Linked DNA regions of Canis lupus familiaris. The protein of the gene in region 4 interacts with the protein of the main gene of each other region in a pairwise test. Links are inferred from orthologs where the notes say so. Each region holds a gene or a part of one and is shown on either strand. Other genes may lie near its edges. The genes, in order: PGK1, CLU, SYBU, DISC1, GRIPAP1, SRGAP3 and EXOC7.

What was found.
Region 1: the proteins of DISC1 (region 4) and PGK1 interact in a two-hybrid assay, tested with the Homo sapiens proteins (2 studies listed by BioGRID and IntAct). The link is inferred for Canis lupus familiaris from reciprocal best matches to the Homo sapiens genes DISC1 and PGK1.
Region 2: the proteins of DISC1 (region 4) and CLU interact in binary tests that used the Homo sapiens proteins (3 or more experiments, as listed by UniProt). The link is inferred for Canis lupus familiaris from reciprocal best matches to the Homo sapiens genes DISC1 and CLU.
Region 3: the proteins of DISC1 (region 4) and SYBU interact in a two-hybrid assay, tested with the Homo sapiens proteins (2 studies listed by BioGRID and IntAct). The link is inferred for Canis lupus familiaris from reciprocal best matches to the Homo sapiens genes DISC1 and SYBU.
Region 5: the proteins of DISC1 (region 4) and GRIPAP1 interact in binary tests that used the Homo sapiens proteins (3 or more experiments, as listed by UniProt). The link is inferred for Canis lupus familiaris from reciprocal best matches to the Homo sapiens genes DISC1 and GRIPAP1.
Region 6: the proteins of DISC1 (region 4) and SRGAP3 interact in a two-hybrid assay, tested with the Homo sapiens proteins (2 studies listed by BioGRID and IntAct). The link is inferred for Canis lupus familiaris from reciprocal best matches to the Homo sapiens genes DISC1 and SRGAP3.
Region 7: the proteins of DISC1 (region 4) and EXOC7 interact in a two-hybrid assay, tested with the Homo sapiens proteins (2 studies listed by BioGRID and IntAct). The link is inferred for Canis lupus familiaris from reciprocal best matches to the Homo sapiens genes DISC1 and EXOC7.

Annotation. Positions count from the first base shown.
Region 1 is NC_049260.1:60,534,452-60,537,476, reverse strand, and holds part of PGK1 (phosphoglycerate kinase 1), read right to left. Parts: intron 1,607-3,025; coding exon 1,492-1,606; intron 1,243-1,491; coding exon 1,063-1,242; intron 1-1,062. UniProt on the Homo sapiens protein: Catalyzes one of the two ATP producing reactions in the glycolytic pathway via the reversible conversion of 1,3-diphosphoglycerate to 3-phosphoglycerate.
Region 2 is NC_049246.1:30,160,720-30,164,743, forward strand, and holds part of CLU (clusterin precursor), read left to right. Parts: intron 1-86; coding exon 87-492; intron 493-1,592; coding exon 1,593-1,691; intron 1,692-4,024.
Region 3 is NC_049234.1:10,445,886-10,450,525, reverse strand, and holds the start of SYBU (syntabulin), read left to right. Parts: upstream 1-1,618; 5' UTR 1,619-1,662; intron 1,663-4,640. UniProt on the Homo sapiens protein: Part of a kinesin motor-adapter complex that is critical for the anterograde axonal transport of active zone components and contributes to activity-dependent presynaptic assembly during neuronal development.
Region 4 is NC_049225.1:8,131,252-8,135,275, forward strand, and holds part of DISC1 (disrupted in schizophrenia 1 protein), read right to left. Parts: intron 3,204-4,024; coding exon 3,074-3,203; intron 1-3,073. UniProt on the Homo sapiens protein: Involved in the regulation of multiple aspects of embryonic and adult neurogenesis. Required for neural progenitor proliferation in the ventrical/subventrical zone during embryonic brain development and in the adult dentate gyrus of the hippocampus.
Region 5 is NC_049260.1:42,329,698-42,333,618, reverse strand, and holds part of GRIPAP1 (GRIP1-associated protein 1), read left to right. Parts: intron 1-26; coding exon 27-104; intron 105-234; coding exon 235-330; intron 331-455; coding exon 456-512; intron 513-603; coding exon 604-703; intron 704-2,219; coding exon 2,220-2,350; intron 2,351-3,921. UniProt on the Homo sapiens protein: Regulates the endosomal recycling back to the neuronal plasma membrane, possibly by connecting early and late recycling endosomal domains and promoting segregation of recycling endosomes from early endosomal membranes.
Region 6 is NC_049241.1:8,962,510-8,967,327, reverse strand, and holds the start of SRGAP3 (SLIT-ROBO Rho GTPase-activating protein 3), read right to left. Parts: upstream 2,998-4,818; coding exon 2,931-2,997; intron 1-2,930. UniProt on the Homo sapiens protein: GTPase-activating protein for RAC1 and perhaps Cdc42, but not for RhoA small GTPase. May attenuate RAC1 signaling in neurons.
Region 7 is NC_049230.1:5,427,974-5,431,908, reverse strand, and holds part of EXOC7 (exocyst complex component 7), read right to left. Parts: intron 3,033-3,935; coding exon 2,887-3,032; intron 2,634-2,886; coding exon 2,481-2,633; intron 2,230-2,480; coding exon 2,131-2,229; intron 1,806-2,130; coding exon 1,743-1,805; intron 1,484-1,742; coding exon 1,417-1,483; intron 722-1,416; coding exon 683-721; intron 1-682. UniProt on the Homo sapiens protein: Component of the exocyst complex involved in the docking of exocytic vesicles with fusion sites on the plasma membrane.

The DNA.
Region 1 (3,025 bases), on a different chromosome or scaffold from region 4:
ATACCCCTCAGTCCTTAAAATTATAAACCTGCTCATGTCCGTTATGAACGATAAAATGAAAGGGAAAACCTCAGATTAAAACATTTTTAACCACACTATTTATGACTGTGAAGAACTAAGTCAGTAGTTTTAACCTAGGGTTAATTCTACCCCTCCCCAGGGGTCCCGTAGCAATGTCTGGGGATATGGTGGTTGTCACAATTTGAGGAGGGAGGTCAAGTTCTACTGACATATAGGAGACAGAGTCAGGGATGCTGCTCAACATCCTGCAATGTGGAGGACGGCTCCCCACAACTATCTGAGACATCAACAGTGCCAAGGTTGAGAAACAATTATCTAGACTCAGTGGTTCTCAAACTTTGGCATGTGTCAGAATCACCAGAAGGGCTTGTTATAGCAAAAAATTGCTGGGTCCAACACCCAGTTTCCAATTCAGTAAGACTGGGATAGGGCCCAGAAACCTATGTTTTTTAAGTTCCAAAATGCTGCTGATGCTCTTCTTGGAACCACACTTTGAGAAACACTGAACAAAATAATGCCCACATGCTTAATAAGAGGAAAATAAGCAAACTAGTATATCAACATGACAGTTTTATACAGCTATTAAAACGACAATATGTACATGACATTGCAGCCAAATATTTAGTCTTTATTATACACATACATTTTTTCCCTGTTTATAATCAGCATATTTCTGCTATCTTAAGGTTTTCATTAGAGTTCTTATACAGCTTTCTAGGTAACAACATAATCCAGAACAGCCCAAATCATGAAAGTACATAGCACCAACCCCAGCACATAGTTAAGTATTTAACAAACATTAAATAAAAGAAACAAAAAATGGTTTTGCCCCCACATTACTGATGAAGACAGAGGCAATCATGCTTTTCCCCCTCAGATTCCCTCTTGAAGAAGGCCTCAATGCTACATCTGGAGCCCTCTCTGACCGAGATCTCCCGTAGAGATTCTTTTAAAATCCTTGCTGGTTGGTAGAATGAAAGAATGAATGAAATAAAAATGTTTTTGTTCACTTGTACTACCAACCCACCCAAAGTGACTCACCATCCAGCCAGCAGGTATGCCAGAGGCCACAGTGGCTTGGCCAGTCTTGGCATGCTCATCAAACTTTTCAGCAGTGACAAAGTCAACTGGCAAGGTAATTTTCACACCATTCTTCTCAGCTTTGGACATCAGGTCTTTGACGATCTTGGCTCCCTCTTCATCAAACAGAGAAGTGCCAATCTATACAAGGGAGCCAAGATAAAGATCAGCCTCTATACTAAGAACATGATTACCTCACAAAGGAGACAGGAATAAGATACAACACAGTATAAAGAAAAAATTCCAAGACAAAAGATACCAACTTTCCAAAATAAGTAAGAATAGGAGTTTTGAGGGCTCACATCAGAAGCTGACTTTCTTTTTAAATTTACATAACCTGATATTTCTCATGGAGAGCCATTTCACATCCACTTGGCATCGGTTTCCTACCTCCATGTTGTTGAGCACCTTCAGGAAGGTAAAAGCCATTCCACCACCAATAATCATCTCATTGACTTTGTCCAGCATATTACTGATCAGCTGGATCTTGTCTGCAACTTTAGCTCTAGGAGGGAAAGCAATCAATAATCATCACCAAAAGAACAAATGATGGACTAAGGAAGTGATATTACATAGTGCCTGAGTTTTTATATCAAGGCATAGGAACAGAGAAATGTCCCACAAGTTACAAAAGTATTGGCTAACTACACAGGAAAATAGTATGGAAGTTCCTCAAAAAGTTAAAAATAGAACTACCCTATGATCCAGCAATTGTACTACTAGGTATTTACCCAAAGTACACAAAAATACTGATTCAAAGGGATACATGCACCCCAATATTTATAGCCACATTATCAACAATAGCCAAATTATGGAAAGAGCCCAATGTCCACTGACTGATGAATGGATAAAGTTGTGGAGTATGTATATGTGTGTACACACACAATGGAATATTACTTAGCCATAAAAAGTATGAAATCTTGCCATTTGCAATCATATGGATGGAGCTAGAAAGTACTATGCTAAATGAAATAAATCAGATAAAGATAAATACAATATGATTTCACGTATATGTGGAATTTAAGAAAAACAAATGAACATAGGGGAAAAAAGAGAGACAAACCATAAAACAGACTCTTAACTACAGAGAACAAATGAGGGTTGCTAGAAGGGAAGTGGGTAAGGGGATGGATTGAGTGATGGGTATGAAGGAGGGCACACATGATGAGAACTGGGTGTTGCATGTAAGTGATGAATCATTAAATCCTACACCTGAAACTAATATTACACTGTATGTTAGCTAACTGGAATTTAAATAAAAACTTAGAAGAAAATAATTTTAAATAAAAACTTGGAAGAAAAAAACATACTGGCTAACTTTGCCCCATGTTTCTTCAACCAAAAGGCCCATCTGTTTCTAAGAAAATCTCTTAGAGGTGCAATCCTAGACAAAAAGGACTTAGAAGACCTACTATTGTCTAAAGAAACCATGAGACCCAAATACATCTATTTTGCCCCTACTCTCCACACAGAAACCACAGTCAAGACAGATAATTATACCTGAGCAAGACTGCTAATCATGGGATCCCTGAGCCCACTCAAAACTGTCCCACAACTCAGGGTGCCTGGGTGGCAGTCAGTTAAGTAGTCTTGGTTTTGGCTCAGGTCACGATCTCAGGGTCATGAGATCAAGTCCAGTGTTGGGCTCCACACTCAGCACAGTCTGCTTCAGATCTCTCTCCCTCTCTTTCTGACCCTCTTGCCTGTGAACATACTCATGCTCTAATAAATAAATCTTTAAAAAAATGTGGGATAGACATTCTACAGCTCACATGCCCTGCTTCTTCAACAAATCAATGGAATGAAAATAAGAAAAGGGGGACTATTACAGAATAGAAAATGCCTAACAACCAAATACAATGCATGAACTTCATCTGGATCCTTATTCAACCAAGCCAACTATGAAAAGACATTTCTGAGATGA
Region 2 (4,024 bases), on a different chromosome or scaffold from region 4:
CTGGCCCTTTTCCACGAGCAGGAAGTGCAGGAGGCAGCTGGGACCTAGGCGAGCTTCTCCTAACTTCCCCATTCTGCCTGTGACAGCTCGAGGAGTTCCTGAACCAGAGTTCTCCCTTCTACTTCTGGATGAATGGCGATCGTATCGACTCCCTGCTGGAGAACGACCGGCAGCAGACCCACGCCCTGGACGTCATGCAGGACAGCTTCAACCGGGCATCCAGCATCATGGATGAGCTTTTCCAGGACAGATTCTTCACCCGGGAGCCCCAGGATACTTACCACTACTCACCCTTCAGCTTATTCCAGAGGAGGCCTTTCTTCAATCCCAAATTTCGCATCGCCCGGAACATAATACCTTTCCCTAGATTCCAGCCCTTAAACTTCCATGACATGTTTCAGCCCTTCTTTGACATGATACACCAGGCTCAACAGGCCATGGATGTCAACCTGCATAGAATTCCTTACCACTTCCCAATTGAATTCCCAGAAGGTTAGAAAGCTGTCTCGTTTTTCCTAAGATGGGATGGGAACTAGCAGGTTATTGAGAAGCCTGTTAGATTCTAAGAACTATGCTAAGGGCTTGGCGTGTTTCATCTCAGTTTACGCCAGCAGTCCCATGAAGGTGGTATTGTCTCCCTTTAAGGAGAAAAATATGACAGAGAGATGATGAAACATGTCTGACCTGGTAAAGGCGGACCCAGTCAGAATTAGCCCTGCCGGACTGGGAATCTGTGTTCTTTCAAGTTTACCATGCCCCTTCCAGCAACTGGTAGGCAGGGCATTGATTACTCCTTTCTAGAGAACCAGACCCTTTGTCTTGGCAACTCAGGTGACTTTATGGGGATGCCATGCATATAGTGGTGACAAATTATATAATCAATCCATGTTACAGTTTAGAAAGCTGTTCTTGGCTATGACCTTGGGGCCTGGCAGAGAATGGGCATGCATGAATATTTTTTGAATGAATCAGGTCTAATACAGACATGAAAAGTTAATACTTTTAGAGGTAATTTCCTTCGTTGAATTAATAGACATGGTTTGCTGACACTGTCTCCTAAATACTACAATTTGACTGGCACCAAGTTTGGCTTGAAATTGTTTGGAAGATACAGGAGGACATTGAATGGAACAGCATCTACTGTGTATCTATAATTGAGGGGGAGCCTTGTGTTACAAGGAGGCTCTAAGGAGGATCCCATTCCTGCCTTCAAGGGGCTTGCTGATTGGCTAGGGGGAGAGAGATGAGCCAGATAGAATACAGAGCACACAGGGTTTTAATGCCAAAGAGAAGTGCATATAGCTATGGCAGTGTGGAGGTAGGAAGGTCTCATCGGATGGAGATGGTGGGAGGTGAGGCCATACCCAGCTGAGGGATCCCCTGGAACCACCTCCTCGTCCCTCTGCAGGGAGCCCTGATCAGCGAGGCCTGAGTCTGCAGGTAGACAGCTCATTTCCAACCTGCTCTGCCCACAGAAGCATTTCAAAGGGGCAGACGGTAGTGTGGAAGGGATCAGAGGGGTGGCCCATCATTATGTTGCTCTGTGTGGTGCCTCAGCATAACTGACTCCCTCTTCCCTGGTGTGTCTCCAGAAGATAACCGCACCGTGTGCAAGGAGATCCGTCACAACTCCACAGGGTGCCTGAAAATGAAGGACCAGTGTGAAAAGTGCCAGGAGATCTTGTCAGTGGGTGAGTTGGGGAGCTTTGGGTCCCTGGTATATCACTGGGGCTCTCCTTAGAGGATCAGACACATGGGACTTGAAATTCCAGCTGCGCTGCCTTCTAGCTGTGGTACTGGGGGAGGTCCTTGGCTCTGCTCCATGTGGGCCCCCATCTGTAGACAAGGGTTAAGATGTATGGGTGTCCCAGAAATTGGGGAGATACCTTTTTTTTGATTTTCCTAGCTATTCTCTTCCCAAGAGCTGAACCTGGTAGGCCTCCTCATTTCTTCCTGTAGATGATGGAATCTTAGATAATATGCAATCTGTTAACAAACACCATGACACTGTGAGCACTGTTCGCACTATTGTTAAACACTTGGCAAACATTTACTCATTTCCTCAGAATGACCCTGAGTTGCATACGGTTCCAGTGCCTATCTTACAGAGGTGAAAAAGCTCGTAGTCACAGGAAGGTTGGGTAACTTCCCTAGATTATAGGATGCCTTGGAGAGCTAGGTGTTGGGGATGTGTTCTGGGGTCACTGGTAGTGGTACCTTGGCGTCCCAGCAAAATACCCTTTGGTTGGTCGGTCCCAAAAGCAAAGAAAATAGGGTTGACCATTGAACAACGAGGCGGTAACAAGCCATCCATAAACATGTATTTCATATGTAACTTGTATTATATACTGTATTCTTAAAATAAACTAGAGAAAAAAAATCATCAAGAAAATCATAAAGAAGAGAAAACTATGTTTACAGTACTGCCCTGTGAAGAACCCGCGTCTAAGTGGACACAGTTCAAACTGTGTTGTTCGAGGGTCACCTGTACTTCCCTTCAGCTGTTCCCCCCTCAGCTTTATCAGATCTGTTCCTTGGCTCATTTCTTCCTACTTTGAGTAGCAGCTGTCAAAGCCTCTGCAATGGCTCCTGGCACACAATAGTCTCTGTTCCAAAAGAGTTAATTATTTTCCCTTGGACATAGCAGATCAATCTCGTGGCTTCGCTCTTACTCAATACGCTTGGGTTTGCCAGGGCAAGCCTTCAGAGTCTAGTTAAATATTCCTAGCCTCACGCCTATAATTTTCAAAGCCACTGCAAATAAATACAAGTGCTGTGAGGGGCCGATGGATGAGGTGTAGATGAGTCCTCAACCAAACCTCTTGGGTTTTCCTCCATCAAATATCGTAGAGTAGCACAGATCACACAGCTTCTCACCACAAGAAAATCATGTGTAGGGCCAGAAGATTAGAGGCACAGATGCCCAGGCTCAAATTGGCACTCCCAGCGCTGATCTTAATGGTCCTGGATCACAGCTTTCCTACACTGCCTTCTCTTCTACGCTGACCAAGAGTTACTGTCTCTTATTTAAGATGCGAGCAGCCAAATGAGCACGCACCGCATGAACGCTCTAGACCAGGGTTTCTCAGCCTCGGCACTATTAACATTTTGGACCAGATTGCCTTCTTCTTCTTTTTTAAGATTTTATTTATTTGAGAGAGAGAGAGAGAGAGAGCATGAGCGAGGGGAGGGTCAGAGAGAGAGACAGACTGCCCGCTGAGCAGGGAGCCCGATGTGGGGCTTGATCCCAGGACCCCGGGATCATGACCTGAGCTGAAGGCTGACAAGCCACTCAGGGACCCCCAGACTGGATCACTTTTTGTCATGAGGGGCTGTCCTGTATGCTGTGGAATGTTTAGCAGCACCCTTGGGTTCTACCCTCTACGCACCAGTTGCCTCCCCTCCCCACCAGTTGTGACAACCAAAACTATTTTCAGACCTTGCCAAATATCCCCCTGTTGGGGGGAGGGGGCAGCAGAGCCCCTGGTTGCGATCCACTGCTCTAGACTGCGTCTCGGTTCTCAATGACTTTTCTCATTTTTAAATTTTTCCCTGGTGGAAGAGTTAAGGTTATTCACTATGTTATCTTTTTTAACCTGGCTTTTATCTTTTGCCCCAGCTAACATTTTAAAAATTCTAACACAAATGATTAAATTTACTAGGACGACTTATGGTAACCCTTTATAGGAAATGTAACATGCAAAGATCTTTTTTCCCCTGGCTTGCTAGGGTCTCATGTACCATCCTCGGGACATTTTTGAAAAAATTAGGGAATGAAAATCAATAGCTTTTAAAGAGAAAGTGAGTAGTTAACCAGCTCTGATCAATCTGACAACCTTCAGTGGGCATCCCAGGACCAAAAGCAGTCACCTGTGTCTTCTCTATGCTCCTGGTGAGCTTGTTGATCTGCCATGGTGGGACCCCTAAGCCATCAGGCTGCTGTGCTTTGTGCCCCAAGGATCCTGGCCGGCTCTTGAACTCACGGACGGTTGGCACTAGATTTCTAGCTCTTGCAGATATGCTC
Region 3 (4,640 bases), on a different chromosome or scaffold from region 4:
TAGCCAAACTGTGGTGACTGCCCTTTGACCCTCAGCTATGGGAGAGCAGAATGATGAAATCAGTTCATCATGAGGCTCTTTAGGAAAGCTCAGTGCCCTGGATGGGGCTACCTGGGGCTCTGGCAATTCTGAGGAAAGTATTTTCCCACTAATTTCTTCAAACCTACCTTCCTAGAAAAGCAGGTAGAGGGGCTGATGAATTTTTGCATTTGGACCTACAAATCAGAATGGTTTTCTTCCTAGTCCTAAGCTTCCTTCAGCCTTACCTAAAGTCAATACAAACTAGATCTATGGGGACTCCTGGGTGGCTCAGCGGTTGAGCGTCTGCCTTTGGCCCAGGGCGTGATCCTGGAGTCCCAGGATCGAGTCCCACGTCGGGCTCCCTGCATGGAGCCTGCTTCTCCCTCTGCCTGTGTCTCTGCCTCTCTATCTCTCATGAATAAGTAAATAAAATCTTAAAAAAAAATAGATCTATGTTACACTGGCTTATTAAAGCTATCTGGAGTGTTTTTTAAAAGAATTATTATTATTTTTAAGATTATTCATTTACTTATTCATGAGAGACATAGAGAGAGAGGCAGACACAGGCAGAGGGAGAGGGAGAAGCAGGCTCCATGCAGGGAGCCCGACGCGGGACTCGATCTCAGGTCTCCAGGAGCACGGATCACGCCCTGGGCCAAAGGCAGGCGCTAACCGCTGAGCCACCCAGGCGTCCCTGTTATTACTTTTAACCCAGTGGCTATTACTGCCTTTGAGTTAGAAAGCGAATCGCCGCGTTTATCCTCAGAACCAGGAAATCCAACAGAGACACCTTGTTTAGAAGAGGCGTCCAAGGTCACCGGCGAAGTGGGAAAGAGCTTGCGGCTTCAGGGTAGGTCTTCCTCCCAGGTTTGGGCAGCGTCTTGCTTAGCCGTCCCCAGGCGACAGGCTGTGGTCGCAGGAGGGCCCTTCCCCGGCAGAGGCTGTCCCCAAGGGCAGCTCAGGCCCACGCCGCGGTTGGCAGCGGTTTGCACCTGCACGCGGGGGCCGGGAGTGTTACCGGGCGGTGAAGCCCCGAGCGGACGCGGGCCGGGTCGCAGCTGCTCGGGCCGGCGGGCGCGGGACTGGGTCATGCAGGCGGCCCCTGCGGCCCCCGCGCTCGGCGGCTTCCCGCGCCCGGCGCGCACCCGGAGCCCCCGCAGTGCGCCGCCCCCGCCCCCGCCCCCGCCGGGAGCGCCTCCGGGACGCAGCTGCCGCGCCGTCCGCGCGTCTCCGGGGACCGGGACCGAGCCCGCAGGTCGAGGACCCCGGCAGCAGGCCCCCGGAGCCCCCCTGCGCGCGGCCGCCCCGGCGCCCCCGGCGCGGCGCCCCCCCTTCCCGCGCCCCGCCTCTCGCTCCGCGCCCTTCGCCCCGCAGCGTCCGCAACCTCTGCCGCGGCCGAACGGGCTGCCGAGGCCCCGGGGCCGCGGGCACCGCGAGCGCGGGCGGCCGAGCACCACGTGTCCCGCCCGGGCTGGCGCGGGCGGAGCGGGCCGGGCCCGGCTCCCCGCGCCTGAGCGCGCACCTGCGCCGCCGCCCGCTCGCGTGCGCGGCCGACCCCGGCCCAGCCGGGCCCCGGCCTCCCGGGCGCGCGTGGATGCCTCGTCCTGGACCGCGCGATGGGCCCCTCCTGGGAGAGAGAGGGTAAGACCGGGCGCTTGTGCGGATCCCCACGTCGGTGCCCGCGGGCACCGCAGGGCGGCCAGGCCTCCTGGGTCCGTGGCGAGCGGAGGATACCGCAGACCTGCGCGGGCGGGGTGGGGCGTCAGGGTGCTCGCGGGCGCACGGGAGGAGCTCGTGGGCAGTGGGCGCTCTCCGCACGGAGACGGGGTGACAGTGCCCCAGTCTGATGAGTCATGAGGTGGTTGGGCTAGGCTCCTTGCCGGGCAGGCAGGTTGACCAGGCCATAGGTTTTGGATCTCCCTTTACTAACTGTCCTCGGGAGCGGAACTTAGAAATGGTGCGTTTTGATGAGGAGGGTTTGGTGAAGAATTGGTGCTATCCAAAAAAAGAAAGCCTTTGTAGATCTTCCCAAAGACGTGGATGGCCCAAAGTCCCCAGACGACACTTTTCAAGTTTCTGCTTTCTTGGGGACTTTTCATACAAATTCTTCGAGGTGAAGAGGGTGGACCGAATTTCCACCAATATGATGTTGAAGAGCTCGGGTGATGAGCTCAAAACTCCTCAACAGGTTTGAATTTAAGATGAGTATATTGTAGAGAAAGAGATCGGCAAGCTTAATATGGCACATAGGAAGAGACTATTAAAGCTTTAAGGGGAAGGAGGCACTTGGGAAAAACTGCTTCCCTGTTGTCTTTATGCTGTTCTACAGTGTGGAGCAAGGAGTGCTCCCTAAGACAGCAGGAAACTCCACTGCTAGGCTCCTTGCAGGTCCTCTGACCCCAGACCCTGGGCTGCAGAAGCAAAGAGCAGCTCCTGTGTCAATCTCCCTTCCCAGAAAGGGCCAAATGTGAACCCCAAGGTCCAGAATCTTCAACTTAAAGTTTCTGCTGCAGCATTGCGAGCTCAGATACATAGCCAGGCACATTTTAGGAATGTTGGCTTCTTCTTCCCCAAAGGATGCCCTTGGGAGCAAAGGGAGTCAGGTAATCTCAGTGCCAGGTTTTCTCCACCTGTGCATTTGGGAGAACAGTAGCCCCTGTCCCCATGAAAGATGGATCCAAGTCAGATCATGTTTCTATTTGCTTCAAATTTTAGAGCGGCAATATATTATCATAAGGCAGCTTTTTGTCACTTAAGTTGTTTGACAATGACACTATTTTAATGCAGAATACATTTAAATACATTCAATCCTTGTTGATCTCCACATACTTAAATCATACTTTCTTAACTTGGTTTGCATTTAATAATCTTTCAAGTGATATCATAATTGAGAACAGTAATCATGTGAGTTTTCAAATGCTGGTGCCCTTAAAAAAGAAAAGAAAGAAAAGAAAAGAAAAGAGAAGAAAAGAGTCCAAACCTTCATTTTTATAGAGGAGCTACTGAGGCTGTAGAAGGGAAGTGAATTGTCCAAGCATATGAATTAGCCAGTGACAAATTTAGAACCAGCCACCTCCTGACACCCAGTTCTGTGGTTTTCTCATATTTTAGTAAAAATGTGTAAGAGATATGCATAAATAAGTAATTTTACAGACACTGATTGGCAGGTCTTAGAGATGTGTGTGATTATAAAGAGGTGTCATGAAGGAGAGCTTTGTGATGATGAAATAGTTGTGTATCTTGATTGCGATGATGGCTATATGAGTCTATATATGTGATGAAATATCATAGGTTTACATACACATTGCACTAATGTCAGCCTCCTAGATTTGATATTATACTATAGTTATGTAAAATACAGTCATTGAGGGGAAACTGGGTGAAGGATATAGGGACTTCTCTACTATCTTAGAAACTTCCTATGAATCTATAATTATCTCAAAATAAAAAGGCTTTTTTTAAAAGTACTTTTGTAAGTGCTTCAAAATCCAACACTGACTATTTTGCTAAATCTGAATTGTACACAAAATTCCTTGCTTTGCTGTATATGCTATTTTAAGTATGTAATACAAACTAATACCTGCATATTTGCTCATTTCATATTTTAAAAAACCATGTGTATTTCTAAGGTTTATCTGCTCATGCTAGAACATCAGGATATCCTGGAGATACTAAATGGCATCTTAGCAAGAGATAGTAATTTAAGGTAATTTATTTAAAATTTTGGAAAATAGGGAGAAAGTTTCACATTTAAATAGTTATGTACTAAAATAACAGGTGTTTTTCTTTCTTTTTTAAAAAAAAAACTATATGAGAAAAGAGGAGTAGGTGAGTATGGTAGGACCATAACAGTATTCCTAGAAATGCTTTCAAGGAGCTTTAACTCCTTCTGTTCTGCTGGTTCCAAAATGAACTTTTATAGCCATCAAACTTAAGTGGGAATATTTACTCATCAAGAAAGAAAAGACAGAATTGCCTGACTGGCTCAGTCGATGGAGCATGAGGTTCTTGATCTCCAGGTTGTGGGTTTGAGCCCCAATGTGAGTGTAGAGATTACTTAAAACTAAAATCTTAAAAAAAAAAAAAAAAGTATTTTCTGCATGAAAATACTGTGGTCTTAGATCTACAAATGGTCTTTTCTCAGCAGGATGCTTTCTGTGCTTCAGGAGATTAAATGGGTAGCTATCACCAAGCAGAAGTAATGAGAGGACATACAGTTCCTTTAGAAAGAAACTAATAGTCATAATAACTTTTTCTTTATGAGAATTCAGGATTACTAATTAATTAAAACATCTGAAAATTTTTTTGTGGATTTTTAGAGCTACTTCATCAATTCCAAAATGAGATATCTTTTATGGGGTGGCCAACATGCATGACAGAAGGCCTAGAACACAGTTCCAAAGGAGATGAAAAGCTAAAGCTTTGGTGTAGTCTTGTAGACTATGCTCCTTCCTTGCAGATTCTGGCAAAGGAAAGGAAAGTTCTTGTATACACACTTCTGATCAAAGAAATATCATTCATTCTCTGGCGTCCTTAGGTGGCTCAAGTGGTTGAGCATGGGTCATGAGATCAAGCCCTGCCTAAGGCTCAGAGAGGAGTCTGTTTGATGATTTCACCCT
Region 4 (4,024 bases):
AAGCATCTCACTGCCTTAGCACTCTGAATTTAAAATGAGACTCTTTCAATCACCACACTCCCATGTCCCATGCGTTGGTTTCTGGCTAATAAGAGCAGAGCTCTGATCCTGGGTGTCTCCCCATCTCTTATCTGTGGTCGCTCAAATCCAAGTACAGATCACCTAAAACTTCTACCTCCTGACCCCATTTCCAGTTTGAGCTGAGGGTAGAGACTTAGTTGGTTGGGACTGAAGATCCACCCCTGAGATGCTCCAAGAAGATAATATGTCTCCCATTGGTCCATCGTTACAATATCATTGGCATTGTTTCCCAACTAACCTCCCATCCTCCACCTCTGCCCGTATCCTATTGTTTTCTTTCCTTGTAACTGTGGAAAATGCATGTAACATGAAATTCACCATCTTAACCATTTTTAATGCCAGTCCCATGGCATTAAGTACATTCATATTGCTGTGCAACCATTGGCACCACCCGTCCAAGACCTCTTCATCTTATAAACCAAAACTCCAGATCCCCATTTACCCCATCCTTCCCCCAACCCCTGGCAACTGCCATTCTACTTTCTGTCTCTATGAATCCCTAGGAACTTCATATAAGTGGAAGCATAGTATTTGCCTTCTTTGTGACCGGCTTATTTCACTCAGTATAATGTCCTTAAGGTTCTTCCAAGTTGCACCATGTGTCAGAATTTCCTTCCTTCTTAAGTTTGTATAGCACTCCATTGTGTGGATGGAGTACATGTGGCTTATCCATTCATCTGTAGATGGACACTTGGGTTGCTTCCACTTTTGGCTGTTGTGAAAAATGTTGTTTTGAACATCACTTTGAGGTCCTTATTTCAATTCTTTTGAATATATAGCCAGAAGTGGAATTGCTTGATTGCATGATGATTCTATTTTTAACGTTGTGAAGACCCACCGTGCTTTTCCACAGTGGTCCAGCACCCAATTCTTAACACACAAGTCAAAGTGATTCTTTAAAACGTGGTCAGATTATGTTGCTGCTTTGCTTAAAACCTTCCAATGGCCACACTGCAGTCAGACAGAAGCCCGAGTGCTTATAAAGGTGTGCAAGGTCCTCCAAGACGTTTCTCCCTGACTTTGTCCTCTACTATTCTCCCATACCCTGGCCTGCTGGCTGCCCTCTGAACATGTGAGGCACATCCCCACTTCAGGCCTTCATGTGGCTGCTCCCTTGGCTTCCATCTCACTGCACAATGGGTTGATCTTAGCTTATGCATTATAGCTCTTACCACCTTACAACATAGTAAGGACGTAACTTGAGAATTAATTATGTTTGCCATTTCTTATCTATCTCCCCATGCCCACCTCTACTAGAACATCAACTTCACAGAAATCCTAAGCATTTCAAACAGTATCTGGAATATAAGAGGCATTCAAACACCTGCTGAATAAATGAATATTCACGTTCCCCCAGAGTTCTGCTGAGAACATTCTCCTCAAACACTAAGTATCCCAGTCTAAAACTATTTTCTGTACATTCTGACATCATAAGGAATTATGCAGGCTACTGAAAAATATTGTAAATATTTTTCAAATATTGTTAATATTGTAAATATTAAATATTGTTCAAAACCAAAAGCCAGATTTCACATTTTCAGCTACCCAAAGTGATGTGGAGAACAAAAGCAAAAGACATATAAGAAAAATAATCAAATTTCCTTTGCAGTCCACTGACAAGTACTTGAGACAAGCAGGGTGACCTTCCTCCAGGAACTCAACTGCCTCAACGTGAATACTTTGCTAGAGGCAAAAAGCAACCCCAGCTTGACATTAGCTTGACTTCCAGGATTCTGTAAGTCTTCTTTAACATATAAAAATCCCTTCAGAAACTTCCTTTACCTCTACCCCCCAACAAAGATATATGTTATTAATCATCCTCCAAACATATGGCCCACTGATATACATCTGAAAGGTTTCATGACTAAGAATTTACTAGCAGTAAATGACTCCTCAAGGTCCTAGAAACCTTGCTTCCAAATTTCTTAGACTTACACTCTCCCCAAACCCCTTCCAACTTAAAAGCATATAATCAGTCACTCCTCAAACCCAATGAGGCTCTTTCTGCCCATGGGTCCTGTCTCCATGCTTTAATAAAACCACCTTTTTGCACCAAAGACATCTCAAGATTTCTTTCTTGACCCTTCGCTCCTGAACCCCATACATCACAACACAAACTTTTAGGACGATACTCACTGAATATAGACGTATTCAGTTTACTGGAGAATATTTTCAAGTTGTGATGGCTTTTGCCACCTTGCTGTTATGGGGACTTGGATGGGCAAGCTCAGGTAATAAGAATACTCTGAACCAGGGGGTAGGGATGGGAGGGCAGTCCAAGAACTCATCCAAGCCCATAAAACAGTCTAAACTCACTCCATTGTTTAGAACCTAAACCAAGATTTGCACTCAGGTGTTCAAGACCCATACTCTTCCTGGAAGTCACGTTGTCTTCCATAGATGCTCCCTGTTACCCTCCATTCCTGTCTCGAGACCGTAGGTTCCAGGTCGTATGGACCCAACTTCAAGGGTCCCTGCCTCAGGCAGGGGGAGTCCACTTCCAGAGCACCTGATAGCCTCCTGCCTTAACTCTGTGCTGCATCTAGACTTCTGGCCCCTGAGTGGTTCCTGGCCACCACTCTGGGCCAATCTGGAACTTTCATGTGATATCTACTGGTTTTTCCCAGACACGCTAGCCTTGCCCAGCCCACACTTACAACTCTGCCCCCTGACAACTGCTCCTCACACTTCAACTCAATACAATTTTCCATGAAGGATTTTCACAGAACACATTTCTTCCTGCCTTTCAAAAGAACCTCATAAAGATCAAAATGATCAGAGGTGACAAATTGGCCTGGCAGACAAGGAAAGCATATTCAAAAAGTAATGAGGAATATTGAAAATGGGCACAAACACCGCTGAGCTTTCAACCCCTCTTTGTGGAATGAGATTCCTACCAGCCCTCCAGCCAACTCCACCCATCTCTCTCTTTTGGACTTCACGGGTGGCTGGCCAAAGCTCTCATTTCTCTGAGCATCCTTCCCCTGCTCACCTGCAGCTGCCGCTTCTCCTGAAGAAGCCAGTCTCGTCTGGTGATGGACACACGCAGGGTGTCCTGAGCAGTGGGCTCCCACAGCTTCGGCTCCATCCTGGGGGTGGTATGGGGGTCATCACTGCAGGCCCTTAAAGTACAATATGCATGTTAATACAGATGTGAAGAAACTGAAATCCTTGGAGCTACAAAACTGTCCAGAGAAAGAAATTTCACAAAGTGGCCGCCAGCTGTTCTCATCTTTGGCGGGTCAGAGGAACTAGGTCCCTAAAGTAAGTTTCTGTTTTAATTACATTCTGTTGGGGATTTTGCTTTTACCCAAAGCCAAACTGCTATTTTTAGGCCTGCCCTGTCCCGTCCTATGGCCCCTAATCACATATACTATCTACGTGCTGACACTGTCCAACGCACACCAGATTTTAAAGACTTCGAATGAAAACAAAGAGTGCAAAATATTTCTATAATTTTTGTGTTTATCACATATTGGAATGATCATATTTTCGATGAACTGGGTTGCATTAAATATATTGTAAAATTAACTTCACCTGTTTCTTCTTGCATCTATTTAGTGTGGCTACTGGATAATCTGAAATCATGTCTATGGTTTGCATTGTATTTTATTGGACAGTGCTGGCTTGATCATTCAGACAGAGCCAAATGCCAGGGGCCGGTCGTGGCTGCAGAGATTAAAAAGAGCTGTGACTGATCCACAGATGCTTGGGGTCAGAGCTTCTCAGAAAAGGCTTGCTAAAAGACTGTCAAAAACCACTTAAAATCTGGCTCTGTCAGGAGCTGGCACATTTGGTCAAAGCAGTGCTGGGGGAAATGCAGCACAGGCTTGATTGAGGCTTTGCAGGGGTCTTGAAGACATTTACCCTTAACGGATGACAAATTCATCCTTAAAGTATTCAATTTCTAACTCGATGCAGTTGGACAGAAAAAAAATATATA
Region 5 (3,921 bases), on a different chromosome or scaffold from region 4:
TGGCCAGACAGAGACTTGTCCCGTAGGAATCTCTGCAGCAGCAGCAGCAGGATCAAGAGGAAGCCCTCAAGCAGTGCCAGGAGCAGCACTCTGGCGAGCTGAAGGTACCCACTGCCTAATGGTGTTCTCCTCTCTCCTGGGAGGGCCGGGCTCTGGAGGGGGTGCCGAGCCCTGGGGGTGGGGTGGGGAATGGATGTTTCCCAGGCAGAGGCCTAGCTTCCTCCTGGTTTGCAGAGCAAGGAAGAGGAGCTACAGGGCCTGCGGGATCAGCTCCAGCAAGCCCAGGAGGAGCGGGACTGCCATCTGAAGACCATCAGCAACCTGAAACAGGTCACTTGCCCCTCCAGGGGCCCAGACACACCCTGGGCCGTGGTGTAGTCACAGGGCAGAGGTAGGGAAGGCCCAGCATGCAGCCATCCTGGCAGCCTCTAGCTGTGCATTTCGTTGGCCCACAGGAGGTGAAGGACACAGTGGACGGGCAGCGGATCCTGGAAAAGAAGGGCAGTGCTGCGGTATGATGGGGAGATGGTCAAGCATGCCCCTGCCTCCAGCCTGTGGGACCACTGGGCCTCAGCCTGCCTCTGTCGCCCCTATTCCCCACAGCTCAAGGACCTCAAGCGGCAGCTACATCTGGAGCGGAAAAGGGCCGATAAGCTGCAGGAGCGGCTACAGGACATCCTTACCAACAGCAAGAGCCGCTCTGGTGAGGGGCCTGGACTCAGAGGGCAGGACAAGCGAGGGGTGGGATCGATGGGCAGGGGCGGGGGCGAGGGGCGGGCTTGGGCCCTAGGGCCAGAGCTGCTTCCTGCACCTGCTATGCTGGGCTCCCCTGCACTTTCTGCCCCTCTTGAACTTGGTCTGTCTGTCTCTCTTTCTCCTGCTCTCTGCCTTGCCTTCTTCCGTGTCTCTCCTCTGTTTTGATCTCTCTGTGCTGTGTCATGCCATCTCTCTCTCTCTCTGTCTTTCCCTACTTTCTCTCTCCTTTTCTTCTGCTGCTATTTTCTTCTTTGTCCCTTTAACACATTCTCTCTCCCGTTCATCCCCCCATTTTTGTCTGCATCTTGGCTGGATCTTCACAACCCTCTCATGCACATCCCCACACCTCACCAGGTATCTCTAAATCCCCTGTATCCATTCTCTCATTCTGTAAATGTGGACTGAGCCCATGTGCTCACATCTGGGGTCCTTGATAGTAAACCCCCTGAAATACTGTCCTCCAGGAGCTCCTAGTTGAGCTAGGGAGACAGACTTACATTCAGATAGCAACACTGTGGCGTTATCACATTCAGCTAAAATCCATGTTCTTTCTGCCACTCTAGGCAGAAGATAAAACAAAAAACCTTGGGTTGCTTTGGACTTTTTTAAAGAAGGAAATGGCCTATAAATATGTTTAAATAAATAGATATAATGTAGTGGTGAGGGCTCTGGTGCATCTCCCATGTCTCAAGCTCAGAGAAAACTTGCTCCCTTGTCCTCCCCCTGCAGCCATAAGCTCTTGCTGGAGATCCTTGGAGAAGGGATGTCAGCCCTTCTCCCGGATACCGGGAAGCAGCTGCAAGAGTGGAAACCCAAGCTCAGTGGGCCTGTTTTAAGTGACATGGCAAAAACGGATGCATCTCTCACTCCATCTCTGTGTCTCTGAGGCATTCTCTCTCCTGAAGTCACCTCCCTTTATAAAGGAGTTTTGTTTCTGTTTTCTACACATTAGTGTACAAATCAACAAGCAGATTCCAGTGGTCCTTGTCCATAAAGAAATGCCGATTTAGGGTCACGTTTACATGTCTGTCTCCATCTTTTCTCCCCCCTTGTCTCTGCTCGGACTTGTGTCCTCTCATCTGCTGTGGCTTGCTGTCTGTCTTGGTTTCTCTTCTGCGTGTGGTCTTGCCCCCAGGCTCTCTCCAGCCTTGGGTCCTCTTTGTATGGACCCCGAGTCTGAGTGCATACATCCCTTGATGCCCATATGTGTCCACACTGCCCACTCCTTCCCAGCCTCTTCACCTTTGTTTCTCTTCTGGCAGATGCGTTTGCCCAGAGAGGCAACTTTTCTTTTTTCTGTTTCTGCCTCTCCTGTCATACTGTCCATTTCCACCTTTCCCATGCCCCAGTGTTACTTTACCTCATTCCATCTCTGTCAAATCTATTTCTGCCTCTTCCTGCCAGTCGCTGCCCTGGGACCCTAGGGGATTGGGGCTCAGGTTTCTCTTCCTTCTCTACCCAAGGCCTTGAGGAGCTAGTTCTCTCAGAGATGAACTCACCCAGCCGGACCCAGACTGGGGACAGCAGTAGCGTCTCGTCCTTCAGCTACCGGGAGATTTTGCGGGAGAAGGAAAGCTCCACTGTTCCAGCCAGGGTAAGGGGCAAGGAAGAGCTGACAGCCCAGCTTCCCCTACCCAAACTCTGGGATCCTCCTTAGGCCCTCCCTTGTAGCCATCTGCCTCTCTGGGCCTAGCATACACATTTTCTTAGCAACTTTTCTCTAAGCTTGACAGCTCAGATTCAGATTGCCAAATTGAGGATAAGCAGATTATTCTCTCTGTCCCTCTGCTCTCTTATCTGTGATGTGAGCTAATTCCACCTTTCCCGCTGTCATAAAATATGTAGCTTATAGCAGGTGCATGATCATGTAGGAGGTCCTTTTATCCAACTCACAATTATCACTTGCTTACTTTCGTCTATTGTGTCAGCTTCCTGGCCAGCCACTTTTATTTGGAAATCCATAAGTAGTATGTGTACCGTGTAGAAAAATTTTAAAAACACACACATGCAAGTTTTTTTTAATCCAAAGAAACTACCTCTTCACCATCCAGAGATCACCACTATAAACCCTTGGTTCAATACCCTTCTAGATCTTGCTCTCTTTCTTTTTCAAAAAGATTTTATTTATTTGAAAGAGAGAAAGAGCAAGTAGGGGAAGAGAGAGAGGGGGAATCTCAAGCAGACTCTGTGCTGAGTATGGAACCTGACGAGGAGCTTGATCTCATGACCCCGAGATCATAATCTGAGCTGAAACCAAGAGTCAGATGCTTTAACTCACTGAGCCACCCAGGTGCACTTCTTTCTTAAACCTTAATGAAATTATAAGTAACCTGTTGATCAGCTGATCTTTATCCTCCCAATTTCTTAAATTTTTATCTCATCTAGTACTTAGACCTTAATCGTATTTCTTTGGTTGGCCCTAAAATGTCCTCTATTGGGCAGCCCCGGTGGCTCAGCAGTTTAGCGCCGCCTTTGGCCCAGGCTGTGATCCTGGAGACCCAGGATCAAGGCCGCTTCGGGCTCCCTGCATGGAGCCTGCTTCTCCCTCTGCCTGTATCTCTGCCTCTCTCTCTCTCTCTCTCTCTCTGTGTGTGTGTGTGTGTCTGTCATGAATAAATAAAATCTTTTTTAAAAATGTCCTCTAGGGATCCCTGGGTGGCGCAGCGGTTTGGCGCCTGCCTTTGGCCCAGGGCGCGATCCTGGAGACCCGGGATCGAATCCCACATCGGGCTCCCGGTGCATGGAGCCTGCTTCTCCCTCTGCCTGTGTCTCTGCCGCGCTCTCTCTCTCTCTGTGACTATCATAAATAAAAAAAAAAAAATGTCCTCTATTGCTAGTTTTATGAAAATCAGCATTCAGTTTCAGAGCACATGTCACATCCGGTTGCTTTATGTCCTTTAAGTCTCTTGAGTCTAGTGTGGTCACTTTGTTTTTCATGACACCAACCTGTAGAAGAAACCCACCAGGTGACCTGCAGAAAGTGTCCCACCTGTTGTGTTTTCCTGCTGGTTTCCTAGTGGTATTATTTAGCTTGTTCCTCTGTCCTACGGTTTTCCTGTCAACTGGAAATAAAACCTCTTATGCTACAGCCTCTCCCTTCATCCTCTCAATGAGGAAATAATGTGGTGGTTCCTTTTTTTTTTTACAGATTTTATTTATTCATGA
Region 6 (4,818 bases), on a different chromosome or scaffold from region 4:
ACATACAAACCACTTACAACAGCCAGAGCTATCCATAGGTAGACTATGTAGGCGTGGGGAGTGATGCGTTCCCCATCACTGGAAATGTACAAGCACGTGATATACTACTATGTTGCAAATACATAATCCAAGGGATTCAAGTATTGGATGAGGCAAGAGAAGGCATGGATCTGAAATTTTTTACAATAGGAAAAAAAAAAACAGTTTTAAAACCTTCTCCTTAGGTCAAAAAATTCTTGAAAAAGAGATAAAAGAGAATAATAAGTCAACAAAGAACTCAGTACCATTTTTAAAAACCAAAAACTTCGCCTCCCTCAACTCACAGAGGACAAAATCTAAGTAAGTGAAGTGTTTGCACCAAACTGGCGAAATGTTTTCCAGGGAGAAAGGAAACTGGCATCAGGCGTTATTTTTGGTGATTGGTCAAACGCTCTTCAGAGGCAAAGCAACAAAGGCAAGGAATAAAAGTAAGAGAGTAAACAATGGAGCCCCATCAAGAGGCAGCCAGTCCCCACCACAAAACCGCCATCTGCTACTGACATCAATCCTTCAAGGGGCAGCTTCAGGCAGACGATGTCTTGGGAAACAAGATCTGCTGCCTTCACATTTCCAGCCTTGTGACCTTGGGCAAGTCATTCCAACCCATCAGGCCTCCGTTTGCTCATGTCTATATCAGAGCTCACACGAACCCTTTCCATACATTGTGCAGGCTGAGAGTAGTGCCGTTTGGGAGTGAGCCAAAGAAAGTGTAGAGCCCTGTATGTACATCAGTAATTAGGAGGATAATAAACAGAATTTTGAAAGAAAAGATTCCAGACGGTTTTGGGCACAGCAACAATCCTGACCTAAGGCTTGTGGGTATCAGTTCTAAAGGAATAAAATTCAACAGCTTTAACCAGAATGTAGAGACCTTTAGCGTCTGGAAGAGACAAGATCATCTGGACAAATTTCCTGCTGACATGTGTTACCTTGGACTTGCTGAGTAGTTGTTAAAATAAAAGTGAAAGGCAAAAAAGTATTTAAAAAAAAAAAGAACCAGCCAGAGGAATAAATGCTTAATTGATCCCCAAGCAAAGTTCACACAGGCCCAGTGGTAGTCGTAATCCAAAAATCCAAAAATCCAAAATACAAATGTTATTTTCTACCATGACAATGCTAATGAAAACCCCCAAAATGTCCAAAACTGAACATCCCCTTCTCTGTTGTGGCATTTTTGGGGGAACCTCAGTTAAAAAGAACAATAATAATCAGCTAACATTCATCTTACAAAATACAAACTCGCTAAAAAGTGTGTATGCAAAAGACTGAACCTGGGCTTTTGTATTGGAGCAGTCGGGTGAATTCAAATCTCTAACCACTAAAGGGCTTGCTCCTAAATTCTCAGCAAGGCTGAAACATCGTCTAAGTCACTGTTTTCCATACTGAACTGAACACTGGAGAAGGGTTTTCTGCTTATTTTGCCCTAGGGTTTACCCAGAGGTGATTAGCATGCCGGGTCTGACCAGAACTAAAAGGCAAAAGACGTTTGGCGAGACTGGAAAAAAAACAAAGCCCTCCCCTGATGGCTGCTCCCCTCCCAAAGGTTCCCAAGCATCTGAAGCGTGTGCAGCAGCTGTGGATGCCGGCCTCCCGCTGCTCCTGGGGAGGCGACCCGACTTCCTGGGTCACCGAGTCCGGAGCTGCAGCAGCACCTAAAAGCAGGTGTGGCGGTCTCAGGTCCCCCAGGGGCCCCAAATGACCAACTTGCTCAAACAGTCCACCCAGAGCCTCAAGGGCAGGCATCAATATGCCCTGAAGACATCTTCCGTCTTCAGCCTTTGCATGGAAGACCACAACACACCCTGTGTCGCAGCAAGGAGATCCGCAACCAGAAAGAGACCAGACACTGAGAGGCGCAGGCCCAGGCTTCCCTCGGGGTACATCCTCAGGGAAAGCGGGGAGCATGGTGCTTTTAGGTTTTCCTTGCCAAAGCTGAGCCTAAAACTCATGAAGGTGGGAGAACCCCAGTCTGGCGTGAATGAGGACTCCGCCTGCATTTATCTGATTGTGTCTGGTTTCTTATCTTGCCTTGCTAGTGAGGGTTAGGGGAGCAGCTTCTAAGAGGAGCGTGCACCCCATGGCAGCAGAGCTGGAACGCGCAGCCAGAGGTCATCTCACCCTGCTGGCAGGCTTCCGCAGGCACTACGGCAGCCAGGCAGCTCCTACCAGCCTCCTACCAGCCGAAAGGGCACACTAAGCTGTTGGCTTTGAATGAGGGCTGATGACCCCACACGCTCACCAGCGGATGGCCGGTGATTGGGGCTGCACACTGTGAGAGAATACATTTTCTTCACCGAGCTCCCTCTTTATGCCTAAATGCCTGCATTACTTCGGATCGATATGCCCTATAACAGTTAATCCATGGCAACCCAGGCCAGCAGAGAAACACTGACAAAGAATTGCAGCCCAGGGATGCTGCTTCCCTGTGCACATGTATGTGGCTTCCAGCCCAGAGAAAGAGGCAAGGGAAAGCAATGACAAAAACCAAGAAGAAGAAAGAAAAATAAATGCAGATCGTAAAAAACCATATTCGGGGGCTTTCAGCATGGAAGGGGGGAGGAGGCAGTGACTGTCAAAATGGCCTTAGAGTGACATGTCACCGCCAAGATGATGGAGTATCCGCGACACTCCTAAAGCCGGGCGTAGGATCCTCCTCACACACCTGCAATGCAGTGATTGCTGCCCGTTCTATAATCCATACAGCCAGCGCCAGCGCTCTCTGCAGTTGAAACCAGTCTGGACTTGTGCGGCTGCCACTGTTTCTACTCACAATAAGATTATTGATGCATAACAACATTTCGTGATGGCAGGGAGGAAAAGGGTAAAAGAAAGCCAAAGCAAGAGAAAAAGGAAAGGGGAGGGGAAGCATGACTCCCCAGCCCTCTTCTCACCTTTTATTTGGGCTTCATATTCGGCAATGATCTCTTTGTCTTTCTTGAACTTAGTTTGAGATGACATCTTCCAACGTGGCCAAAGGCACTGACAGGCTTTTGATTTATTTCTCTTTTTCTTCCCGAGTCCTCTCTCAAGCCCTGGTAATCACAGGCTCTAGTCGATTTCACAGGTTTAGGGGCTAATCTCTTTTACAAGGCTGCAGAACCAGGGGGGGGAAATCCCTCTCGTTCCGGGAGGAAAATTCTCTTTACTCTCCGGGGGGGAAAAAAACAAAAATGTCTCTAGGAGCTTGGTCTGGTCAGCTCCTCTTGCAAAAGAAGAACTCCCACCCTAGGAACACAGTAACCTGTCCCAGATTTTCAAGATGTTTCTTCCGCAGAAATAATAACCAAGAGCAATCACACACACATGCACACAAACACACTCACGCGTGCACTCTTACACTCATCCGGACACACACACACAGTCGTGATCTACACGCACACATACACACACATTCACTCACTCACACCCGCTCACCCACCCACCCACACACACACACACACACATCCACGAGAGGCGCGGCGCCTCCTTGGTCGCGGTCGCGCAGTCAGTCCCCGGCTGGCTTTCAAAAGCTCTGCTAAGGAGATGGTCAGGTTGCCAAAGGGCCAGTCATCTCGCATCCTCCCTCCCTTCGGCGCCTCGGGTCTGATGTACAGTGAGGATCAAAGCCAGGAGAGCGAGATGGAAGTTCTCCTGCTGCAAGGTTTAAGCTTCGGGTGAACCAGGGCTGGACTGCTCGCCCTGCAGGGCTGGCTGAGCGCTCCCCCACCCACCTCGTCACCAAGCTCCACCTCCCGGATTTTATAACAACTGACACATTGTAGCCTACAGGAGAAGAGAACTCACTGCAAGCAAAAAGGGGAAGAAATGCTCACAAAAGGGGAAGCAGCAGGAAAAAGAATCGGGTGGGAAAGGCCTGGGAGGCCCCTGCAAACTCCATTAACAGTCGGGTTAGGAATTTTTCTTCCAATAACTCCAAAAGGTTCACCTTTTCTTTGTACCTTGCAATTTAATTTAATTTCTCAAAGTAATGGCTATGTGACAGTTTGTTACTCTATAGGGATTGTCTAACAGAGGAGAGAGGCTGACCCATGTAGGCAAGCTCATTAATATTTGTTGAGCAATTGCGGGCTGGCAGGGACAATGCCAGGCATTTCAGACATGCAGCTTTGCAAAGCTGTTGAAAGCAGGCATGCTGGAAACACCCAGCTGCCTCAGTGTCTCTTGGAGGTTTAGGCAAATCAGTAACTCACTGAGTCTCAGTTTCCTCACCAGTAAAACAGGCTCTCTTTAAGGGCTTTTTAATTCATTCTTTCAACAAATATTTATGGAAAGCTTACTATAGGTCAGGCATTGTTGTGGATACAAGGATACAGCAATGATCAAAATAAGCACACACATTTAAAAATAAAAAATCCCTGTCCTCCTGGAGCTCCGAGGTCTCCACATTACACAACTCTGAGAAATCCCCACCAATCATGTTCATATTCTCAGTAAAGGCAGAACTCAGAATGCACAGTGAATGGTACCTCCTGGAGTTAGGCAAAGCAAGAGGCCCTAGAAGAGGAAGATGAAAAATAAACAAAATGAGTAAATGATACAATATGGTAGAAGAAGATAAGCGTTATGGGGAAGAAAATATTGCTGGGTAAGCAACTTAAAGAAGAGAGAGCTCTTAGGAGGCTCAAATAAGAATGTGAAGCTAAGCTTAGCATGGTGCCAGGCACATAATAAGCACTCCATAAATGGTAGCAATTATTATTACCCCATGATAGCCTCCAAAAAAAAACTAACAATGTAGTAGAAGCATCCATCTTTCACAGATGAAGGAAGAGAGGCATA
Region 7 (3,935 bases), on a different chromosome or scaffold from region 4:
TGGCAGCAGCCAGGACCCTCTCTGGCCTTCCCTCAGCCCCTGGAGCAGCTGTGGAAACCTTGGGGTGGGGGTGGGGGGGCCCTGAGCCTTCCTCAGGCAGACTGGACGCAGAACGGGGAAGGGGTTGGTCTGCTGAGCTGCCAAGCTCCCACCTGCTGCAGGAGCACCCCCTGGGCAGCCTCTTCCTGGAGCCCAGGGCAAGCCCCTCTATGGTGATAGGTGGCAGGATTAATGAGCTGGCCCATGATCAGCAGGAAGTCTGGGGGCACAGGAGTGGGACACCCCTTTCCCCCCAGCCCCAACTAATGCAAGGTGCTCTCTATAAGGTCCACTTATCATATTTGTGAACAGCAGGGTCTCAGAGTGGGCTCCCTATGGCCTTTCCCCTTTCTCCCCCACTTCCCACAACCTCCTCTACTGGGCCCCTCTAGACAAACAGAAGGCCAAGGAGGTGGTGGTGAGGGTATATGGGGAGGGAGGGGGCAGGCACTAGGCTAGCCTGGAGGGTGCAGCCAGCCTTGCTGGGAGCTGAGAGAGTTGGGAGTGCCCTAGAGAAACCCACATCCCCTCTGATCCCCGCTCCCAATAGGTCCTGAGTCTGTCTGGGTGCCTCTGTCCCTAAGGAATCTCACCCATGGGGTTTCAGAGGGGTAGGATGGGGCTGTAGAGCCCTGCCGCTTACCTCGGGGGTCTAAAGGAATATTGTATGTGTCCCCAAGAACTACGGAGTGAAAGGCAGTGCACTCAGAGGGGAAGGGGAGACAAAGAAGGGAGAAAGACGCAAAGTGCAAACACAGGTTAGCAACCGTGTCCCCGAGCAAGCAGACCCCTCCCCGTGACAGCCAGAACACAGACAGCAGGACACACCCAGGCTGCTCCCCGGAAGGTGAGGGAGCACGCAGCGAAGTGGGGATCTAGAGAACTGCAGGCCAGAGGCCGCTCCTGGCTCCCTCGCCCCCAAAATGGAGGGAGGGGGAGGGCCCGGGGGCCCCAACAAATTGGGTTGGGTCTTGGTGCTCAGAAATGCCAACCTCCTTCCATGCCAACCTCCCCAGCTCCAATGCCAGGGCAGCAGTCAGTGGGAAGACACCCGGCTGGCCCTGAGGCGCCAGCCCACGGAACGGTCAGCTGTGTGAGACTAATCGGGAGGACAGGCGAACCCAAGAGCAGATGGAGAAATGCGGAAGGAGGGGCGAGGCAGGCAGGGCATCTTCGAACCAGGGAGTGCCACTCTCCAGAGCGAGGACGGTGGAAGGAGCGAGAAGGGAGGGAGGTCGGGTCAGGAAAGGCACAGTCAAACCCCACTTCACAGAGCCGGAGGAAATCTCTCCCAGAGGTGGCCAGTAACCCTGTGTCTCCAGACAAGAGGGAGGAGTGGGGTATGGGGAGGGGGCCCCACTGGGAGGTGCCAAGTACCTTGGGAGGCCAGCATCGCCCCGGCTGTCTCTTGGAAATCCAGGAGTTGCTGTAGGAAAAGGATGGCCTGTGTGGGGAGAAAACAGGTCCAGGGAGAAGGTCAAGGGCAGGACCTTAGAGTCAGATCACCTCCCAAACACACCCCTTCTGACCGTTCCAGGGCAAGTGCAGGGCCTGGGGTCTGCCAAGGGAAGAGTGGTTGCAAGCTTCCTGCCCTGAATGATCCAGTCTACTGGAGACACGAAATACTTTGCCATCTATCCTGCCACAAGCTCTGGGCCAGGCTGGGTCCCTCCCCTCCCCAGGCAACCCGGGGCAGCACCTACATTGCTTGTGAGCTCATGCACGGTGCCATCCTTGGGCATGTTGTATTCCTTGTCTGGATCATTCTGTGGAAAAAACAGTCCCAACTTCCTGAACCTGCTTCCAAGGCCTTGCGCTCCACCCCGGGGCCCAGGCTGTCTGCACCCGATGCCACCTCCTGGCAGAGAGGTGTTGGGGTGCCCCTCAGGCACACAGGTGAGAGATGGGACAGGAAAAATAGGGCAGCAGCCTCACCCCTCAGAGGCTCTGGAGCCCCCTGGGTATTGACTAGCAGCACAGCCAGCTAGTCAATGGGCTAGCTGGGTGGCTTGGTTTCCGTAGGAGCCCCCGAGGCAGGCCCCTGGGGGTCCTGCCCACAGTTCTAGGGCCGCAGATGGAGAGGGAGAGCACCTTGATGTTGTCGGCAAAGTCCTCCAATGCCTTGGCTCCAACTGTCTCCATGGAGGTGATGAGGCCGGGCAGCTTGTTCTTGGTGCTGGCAGCTGTACCCTAAGGACGCACACGGCTGCAGAGCTGAGCCTGGCTCCCCGCCAGCTGCCTCCCTGCCCCTCACTGCAGGGCTCCCACTCCTGTTCGGTCACCCTGTGAGTGTGTGCCTACATCTGCGGCCCCGTGTAGAAGCTGCTTCCGCTCACCTTCTGACTGGAGGCATGAGGGCAGAGAAGCTGCACCCCTTGGGAGGCCATGCCAGGCAGCACGATTCCTCCTCCCTGTGTCCCCGGGTCTTCCTACCCACATACCTGGAGCACCTGGTCAAACTCGGGCTTCGTCTGCTTGAGGTGCCGCAGGATGGGGAAGACAGTGAGCACGGCAGAGAAGTCGTGTCGGATGATGGCCTTGCGGGCAGCAGACACGATGTTCTCCCCTTCGAGCATCAGCCCGTCCAGTGCATCCTGGGAGAGCATGGCAAGGATGCGGCTCACAGGGGGGCAGAGGGGTGTGAGCGGCTTCCCAGGGGCCCCTGCCTCAGCAGGGGGCAGCAATGGGGAGGAACCCCCGCCCCCCTACACACACACACACTAGTTGTGTGGCTCTAGTTGAAGGCTACAGGACAACAGGTCTGTCCCAAACGTGAGCTTCTGTGGTGGCAGCTTCTGCTGGGGCATCTGGTCAGGACCCAGGAGCAGGGTGGGGGCGGGGCAGCACCTGGATCAGAGAATCAAAGGTCTTTTTCTGATGGTGCTCAGGGATGACGTCCATCAGCAGCTGGTACTCGCTCTGGGCCAACTTGACGAAGGCACTGACACAGTGAATGTAGGCGTCGGTCTCCACATCTAGCGTGTCGTCTCTCCCTGGAGGGACAGCAGTGCCCCTGAGCTGCTGGCCTGCGGGAAGCCGCTCTCCCTGCTGGGTCTCCCCAGCTCCTGGCCTGTAGCTCGGGCCAGCAGGAGATGGGGAGGAGGAGGACTATTCTGGCAGAAAGCTGAGAGGATTCCAGCAGGCCTGACTGCTCAAAAGGAAAAACGGGGCTGAATCCAGCCTTTGTCCTGGCTTCATTTTCAGCTCTGCTGGACAGTGTTTACGTCCCAGAGCATCAGGTACTAAAGGTGGTAGGGAGATCGATGAGGGGATAAAGAGGGAAGAGCCCTAAATCGGCTTCCTAGCCACGGTATGCCTGACCCCAGGACTTAGGATTCTGAACTGCACCAGAAAGAGGGTGGCCAGGGTGGGCGAGAGGCAGTGCCTGTCTCAAGGGCACTGTGGTCACCCATCTGAGAAAATGCTAGGTCACTGAGGGCAGTTCTCAGCCCCACCAGACATTCTGGAATGTCTAAGAAGGCAGTGGTGGACTATGGCCTATGAGGCTAGCTGGCACAGGGTTACACTCTGAGAAGAGGCAATGTGAGTCCCAGAAAAGGAGGGCTCCTGGCTGGTCAGCTGGCTCAAAAGGAGACTGGGACCCACTAGTGGAGGCTGGGGCAGGGGGCACCCGCAGGCAACCTGGTCCCATAAGCAAAGAAACGGGCTCCGAGTCAGAGCTTTAGAGCTGTTGGTGGAGTCAGATGTCAGGGCTCCCTGCCCGCCAGGGAGCCGCCGTCCAAGTAGCGGCGACTTCTCCCCTTGGCCCAGGCCCTGAGAGCCAGGCATACACTCCCATCTGGAGAGAGACAAGGAGACCTAGTGCCCAAAAGAGAGACTTGAGAGAGAGAGAGGCAAACAGGCCTGGCTCATCCTCAGAGCGGAGCCCTCCGGGG